2 linked regions of the Danio rerio genome follow. The protein of the gene in region 2 interacts with the protein of the main gene of each other region in a biochemical or structural test. Links are inferred from orthologs where the notes say so. Each region holds a gene or a part of one and is shown on either strand. Other genes may lie near its edges.

Region 1 (3,758 bases), on a different chromosome or scaffold from region 2:
TATTAATTGCAGTACTATTAATAATTTACTAAATAATACACTGATAAATTTATTTTCTGTTCGGGATGAGTTGGCATTAAAAGAGGAAGGGGAAAAAAAGCAAAAACAAACAATAAAGCGTTTACTGGTTTTACTGACTCACAAAAAGTGTATTCGCTGTGAACAGTCAGGCTTTTCTTTGTGGCCAACATTGCTCAAAGTGATTTTTAATGAGTAACCATAAGCCTCATTAATCTGAAATAAGCAAAACCAACGTTCTTAGCACTAATGAGGATATTGTAAGGGGTAACTCTTCATCCAATTCAACTGTCATCCTATTGAGAATAGATCCAGAAGCCAAAATGTTTCTGTTATTTGAAAAATGTCCATTGCAAACATCTACATGTTATCAGTACTATTCAGTTTATCTTGAAATGCAGTCGAGTAAAGAAAAAGGCTAAATGCTTCAGTGCATTGTCGCTATATGTTTACCAATATTAGTAATATTGAACTTTTTTTTTTTTTTTTTTTTTTACATTATATTATATTTTCTAATAACATACAAAAACACTAAGGGGTTTCTAAAACAAAAGTTGAAAATACATCAAATAAAAATCATTTAACCATTAAGAGATTAGTTTGTTTCAAGTTCCTACCTAAAGTCAAGTCTAAATATGTTTTGATGTTGATGAAGTGTGTTACTCTTACAATGCCTTTATCTACTCTTGATTAGAGACAACAACAACAAGTATATAATTCTAACATGAGATCCAAAATAATATATAAAAAAATTGAGTTAACAGTTTACATTTCAGATATAAAACAAAAGACTAGTTCGTTTTAGAATAGATGTCTCCATAACTTCAGTACATCAGGCATTATAAATTATGTAGACATCAAGATCATTCTTCAATTAATTTGAATTGTTTGGCTATTATAATTGTATATTGACATTTCTTACTATTAATACACTAAAGCGAGTCCACATATAAACTGTAAAAACCCTTAAAAAACAGGTTTAGAATTAATTTTTCCACATTTATGAATATGAGATTTACCAAACAGATCCTTTATGTAGGCTACAAGGCAGAGCAGAAGCAGAGGTGTTTCGTCACCTTAAATCCCTCCCCCATTACTCTTAACCGCTCCTGATTGGTCATGATTTTAGATTTCCGCCATATTCAAAATCCGTCCTATCCATTGAATAGCTAGCTTCCCCTTTCTATTCATCCCCCCTAAAATAACCCGTTTTTAACTGTATTACGTATTATACAAACAGTTTACAGTAACGCAATCCAAGTCCACGTCTTTCAAATGGAAGAAACCGACGGATCTCCAGCGCCAATGGCAGAGCCAGTCAACGAAAGACCGAAGAGGAGCAAGAGAAAGTCGTCAATGGTGGAGGCGGACGGGTCCCCAGAGCGCACTTTCAAACGGTCAGGAAGATAATATCAGACGCATTGTTATTGTTGTTATACATCATTATTATTACTACGTTACAGCTTGCACTATTATAGTCTGCGAATTCCTTTGCAGATTATCCCATATTCTGCAAATGTGCAAACTGCAGCGAATCGGGAAATGAGGAAGTGTAACGTTATTAACTCATTTATAACATTTAAACGACATCTTACGACAAATAACCATGTTTCTTATATAGTAAAAGTGTAATAATAGCAGAAATGTATTGCTTACAAATATTGTAATCACGTTTTTAAATAAAAAAAACTATGGAAGGTGTGGGGAAAACTACAATTTAACGATGATTAATTTGTGGTTAAATTACTAACACGTTTCTTAGCCTTTATTTGTGGTAAACCCGTGGTTAATATTCCTCAATGGCTATATATGTAGATCATATAACTTCTCTAAGGAGTTATGGACTGGCGAGTACAGATCTCTGTTTGTTTTGCTCTCAAAGTGAGAAAAACTTCCGCAATACGTCGTCACATTAAAACAAAGCATGACGGCAGGAGGGCAACCTTGTATGGCTGCAATGTTTTACCAAACCACACGATGGCGCTGACGTCTCACAAAATAACAATGGAGTTCAAGGCAAGCCACACCATAAACATACACTCAGCAGCCTCTTTATTAGATACACCAGGAATGGACAACTTCGGTCCTGGAGGGCCTTTGTCCAGCAGGGTTTTGCTCCAACACTAATCAAACACAGCTGAACATGCTAATCAGTAATCAGAAACACATGCTTATTTGAATTACTTGTATTCTCTGTTATCTGGCAACCCTGAGATGGCGTAATGTAATGAAAATCCCAGCCTTTTTGCCACCCAAAAACATGCCAAGTCACTTAAATATAAATTTTTACCTATTCTGATGCTTGGTTTGAACTTCAGCAGATCATGTTCTTGACCAGTGTTCATCAAACACTCCCTCATCAAACACACCTGATTCAGATCAGACTCATTAGCAGAGACTGAAAGACCTGTAATGGGTGTGACAGACAAAGGAGACATCCAAAACATGCAGTGTTGGTGGTCCTCCAGGAACGTGATTAAAAAACGTTGTTCTTGAACATGTTTACCTGCCAAAATGCATTCAGATTGGCTGTTTGCATTTGTTTGTGCAACAGATGTACCTAATAAAGTGTCCAGCGAGTGTACACAATAGACATTGTCTTGTGTAATGCAGCTGAATTTCTAACAAACGGACAAACAATATTACATAAGTGCTTTGAGACAGTGCTGTATTTAGAAAGGACCTACTTGAAAGTGAAGCAAAACAAACCAAGTGATACATAACCGTAATGCATCTGTGAATGCTTTCAAAAAACATGTGATCTTCAAAAGTGCTTTTATTTTTGAGGAAATGTTAGTGACGTTCAAATCCATGTGCAACTTCACCGATATTATTAAAAAAAGAAGTTGAGGACATCAGATTATACTCCATATAAATAGATCATGCCTGAAATATATCTCTCATAACCCTGAGAAAGAATGCAGGCAGATGGAGAACATTAAAATGTGCCTTTATCATTGGCTAAAATAACAACAGTTTATTTTGGCAGAAGATTCTGTTTTCTTTCTGTCATGCCAGGCCTTATGCCTTCTGCCTGATTGGAACCCATTTTGCCAACTACAGTTATCAGAAAAGCAAACAAAATGGCACGGAAGTTTAATTCTCTGGAAAATCTAAGTACAAATTGCGACTATGATGCTCTAAATTGTTGCTGTGTAGTCGCCAGGGTGGTTGTTTGGCTATCGCAATGCCAATGTCAGAAGAGCGTCCTGCTACATATTAGATTCGGGTCTGCTGTTATGGCTTTCAGTAACTATAACTGCTTAAACAAATTCCTTTCCAAGTGCCACACATCAAAGCTCCAGCGCCACAATAAAGTTACTATGTAAATAGACAAAGTGGTCTCTTAAAGAATGTTCTGCAGGAAGTGTTTTAAAACAGTGCTACATTGTATTTAGCATCTACATCAAGGGAATAGTTGATAAAAGGCTGAGAAAAGTTAAAGACAATAGCTTAATTTACAAAGATGCAAATTAAATGAATGTGCAACACTGGAATATCACATTTAAAAACTTTGCTGATTAACTCTGGCGTCAAATATCAAAAGTAAAAACATAATTTGGTGCGGTACACTGCAAAAAATGCTTTTCTTACTTAGATTTTTTCACTTGTTTCTAGTCCAAATATCTAAAAATTCCTAAATCAAGAAGAGTTTTCTAGACAAGCAAAACATATTGTCTTGTTTTGAGAAATAATTTCCTTAAAACAAGCAAAATAATCTGCCAATGGGGTAAGCAAAA
Region 2 (3,470 bases):
AGAAACTATTTACTTCCAAAGTCGAAAAAAAACTAATACTATGGAAGTCAATTGTTTCTAGATTTCTTCAAAACATCCTCTCTTGTGTTCAAAAGAAGAATGAAAGTCAAGTGAAGGGCGAGTAAATGGTGACAGCATTTTCACCTTTGGGTGAACTATCCCTTCAATAAAAGAGAAAGTGGGTGGCAGAAGTCTTCACAGCCAGCTGGTACTGGGCAGGATTGAGTGTGTTTAATGTTTGAAGTATCCCAGCACTATCATGTTGTCAGTGTATCTAAGAGATGTTGGTTATTTGATTCCTGTAAGGAACCCAACACTGGCTTGTTTACTTTGGCATGAGGAGCGGTATCACTGTCTGATGAACCCAACACTGGCAAGGTCATAGGAAACGCTCAGCACAGAATCTAAGATCAGTGAGACCGTAGGAAAAGGAAATACTTAATTTGCTATTGCTGCCTCATCCTACCATTTCCTTTCTGAGGAAACGGCAGCCATTTACGGGCCCAAAAGTTCTTTTCTGTTTATTTTCCCCCCTTCTTGACTAAGCCTTTTCTATTCTTGGCATGATGGTACGGGAGGGTGTATAGTTTTGACCTGAGCTGGGATTGATATACCGTTAAACTTAGAAATGAAAGTGTGCATTGTGGCATTTCTAAACCTCCTCCTCCTCCTCCTTTCATTCACAGAGTGCTTGACGTCCAACACCAGTGACAGTGAAAGCAGCTCCAGTAAGTGGCTCTAAATGTGCATTAGCTTAAGCTTTTCATTATGTACTAAGTTAAGTCTGTCCCAGTGTCAGTGTTGCCAGATTGGGTGGTTTTGAATCTGATTGTGCCAGTAAAAAATGTCATTGGTGGATTGACAATATTTGGGCAGTTTTGAAACGTAAATTTTATATGCAACTTTTTAAACAAAACATAACTGTGTGCTCCTACATGACTAGTGCGTAGCAAGAGGAAGTGAAGAAAAGTTGTATCAAAACTTGACTCCATGGACAAATCTGACTCCCCTTCATGTGCACGCGCATCACGCAGAGCCTGGTTTATTGTCACACTTTCATTGATAATTTTTTCCAAGCAGCACCTAATTATGTTCAAAAGAATTTAAACGCCAAATGTGACTAATTTATACCCCATTTTGAAAGTAAAACATACTCTAATAGGGAGTGTAATCTACACGTCAAGTGCAGTGTGTAGTTGAGGATGTGTTTCAATTTGATCTGGTTATATTGTGGTTCTGCGAGTGCTGGTGTTGGTTGCTTTATGGTTAAAAAGTATGACAGTTACAGTAACTTAATTAATTTAGATTTAAATAAATTAAAATTAAATAATTAACCTTATATTTTGGATTTTTGTTTTGCGTTTGGGCTGGAAAAAGTCAGCTACAGTATATCTGGCAACACTGCCCAGTGTAATCCGCTGAGGTGCGGCATTCCATTTGATCATTTTCATGCCATTAACTTTAAGTGCTTGAACAAAAAAATAAAAACAATGATTCATGGATCTTGTCATGTGACCTGCACGTTCATTCCAGTGATAATTCAAGTGGATTGTTTTTGTATTAAATGGTGAAGAATGAAACCTTCCTGTTTCAAATGGATACTTCTGTCATTTCTCCTCATGCAGAGGGTCAGGAAGACACAATTCTCTCATATGAGCCAGTAATTCGACAGGAGAGTGAGTATACATATGCCTTTTTCACTTTAGCTGTTTTTTTTTTTTTTTTAAGTTTGAATCAAAATATTGGATTGGCAGCTCGATAAAAAAGACTCAATTATTAATATTGGATATTAATGTGCATTTTATTCAAGCAAAAATGGTCATTTCATGTTTTTAGTTGAGCAGTCTCACTCTGACCCTTAATCCTAGTTAACACTCCCCACAATGCAACACGCGTCAAATTCCAGCAGTTGTTTGATGTATTAGTCACTGTGTACATGTGCTGTTCTGATCTTGTTTTTGCGTGGCTGAGCTACTGTATACATCACTGAAGTGAGATAAAAAATGTTTCTTGCCATTTTAAAAAGGTCATCTGTTTCAGAAGAATTGGAATCATTAGTGTGACTGTTTGAACTGAACTTTACAATTAAACGGGCTGCTTTTACTGCTGTATGTTTAAGATTTCTTTAAATGACTTGACCACTACATGATGGCTTTATTTATTAAGGTTAAGTGTAGGTCAAGTTAGCCGTCTTGCATTGCATTTGCGCAAGATGTTGAATAAGCAGTAGGTCATAGTTGATATGCAAATATAGACGTCTCTGTTAACTAACAGTTTGTGAATAGTCTGTGTTTGCACTTTAGTTTTCATAAAAGCTCTGGTTGAACTGGCTAGATAGCTTTATGTACTTGGTACACGCTACACAGAAAGAAATTCAAATCCTGTTTTCCATGTCCTCCATAATGAGAGCCAAAGAAATAATTCTCAAGGCTGGACGTTTTTGACCAACATTGATTTGGCTTTCTTTTCAGTCCATTACACAAGGCCTGTGATTATCTTGGGTCCGATGAAGGACAGAGTAAACGATGACTTGATCTCAGAATTTCCCCACAAGTTTGGATCCTGCGTTCCACGTGAGTATAATATAAAACAAAGCAAGTTAATCTTTCAGTGTTTTGGCAATACTTGTGAAATTAAAGATCATAATTCTTTAGATACAACTCGTCCTCGGCGAGAGAATGAGATGGACGGCCAGGACTACCACTTTGTGGGTTCAAGAGAGCAAATGGAGAAGGACATTCAGGACAACAAATTTATCGAGGCCGGCCAGTTCAACGAGAATCTGTACGGGACCAGCATCCTGTCTGTTCGGGCAGTGGCTGAAAGGGTCAGTGACTCCCTAGTGTAAACATGCCAGGGGATCCGCACTCCTGTTTAATCCTTCAATATTTTCCCTGTGGCAATTACTGTGAGCAGTGTAAGTGTGACACAGGATGAAAGGGTTTCTTTAATCCTGTTGTAGGGCAAACACTGTATCCTGGACGTGTCTGGGAACGCCATAAAGCGACTGCAGCAAGCACAGCTCTATCCAATCGCCATTTTCATCAAGCCAAAATCTGTTGAGGCCCTAATGTAAGTTGAAGATTTTGATTTCTACAACCATTAGGAGACTACCGATGACATGTCTTCCAGTAACTTTTTCTAAATAAACAAAATGCTCTGTTACTAGGGCTGCACAATATATCGTTTCAGCATCGATATCGCAATGCGTGGAGCTACAGAATTGTATTTAACTACAGTATTTATATGGAATTTATTGGATAAAAACATTTCTTACTTGGAATGTTTGTCTTGTTTCTAGTCCAGATATCTACATTTCAAAGCCAAAACAAGATTATTTCACTCACCCCACTGACGGATCATTCCCTTAAAACAAGCAAAAACACAATAAAAACTTCATTTACTCTTATTTCTTCTGATGGTGAAAACTAAACAGCATTTTAACATGATTTTTTTAAATGTATTTATAC

Evidence for each region. The genes of interacting proteins can lie anywhere in the genome.
Region 1: the proteins of dlg3 (region 2) and net1 interact in a test that uses a peptide from one of them, tested with the Homo sapiens proteins (2 studies listed by IntAct, with this or other methods). The link is inferred for Danio rerio from reciprocal best matches to the Homo sapiens genes DLG3 and NET1.

Annotation. Positions count from the first base shown.
Region 1 is NC_133179.1:12,171,219-12,174,976, reverse strand, and holds the start of net1 (neuroepithelial cell-transforming gene 1 protein), read left to right. Parts: upstream 1-1,156; 5' UTR 1,157-1,293; coding exon 1,294-1,415; intron 1,416-3,758. UniProt on the Homo sapiens protein: Acts as a guanine nucleotide exchange factor (GEF) for RhoA GTPase. May be involved in activation of the SAPK/JNK pathway Stimulates genotoxic stress-induced RHOB activity in breast cancer cells leading to their cell death.
Region 2 is NC_133189.1:37,620,362-37,623,831, reverse strand, and holds part of dlg3 (disks large homolog 3), read left to right. Parts: intron 1-686; coding exon 687-728; intron 729-1,625; coding exon 1,626-1,676; intron 1,677-1,778; exon of another isoform or gene 1,779-2,471; coding exon 2,472-2,573; exon of another isoform or gene 2,574-2,654; coding exon 2,655-2,827; exon of another isoform or gene 2,828-2,962; coding exon 2,963-3,072; exon of another isoform or gene 3,073-3,159; intron 3,160-3,277; exon of another isoform or gene 3,278-3,366; intron 3,367-3,470. UniProt on the Homo sapiens protein: Required for learning most likely through its role in synaptic plasticity following NMDA receptor signaling.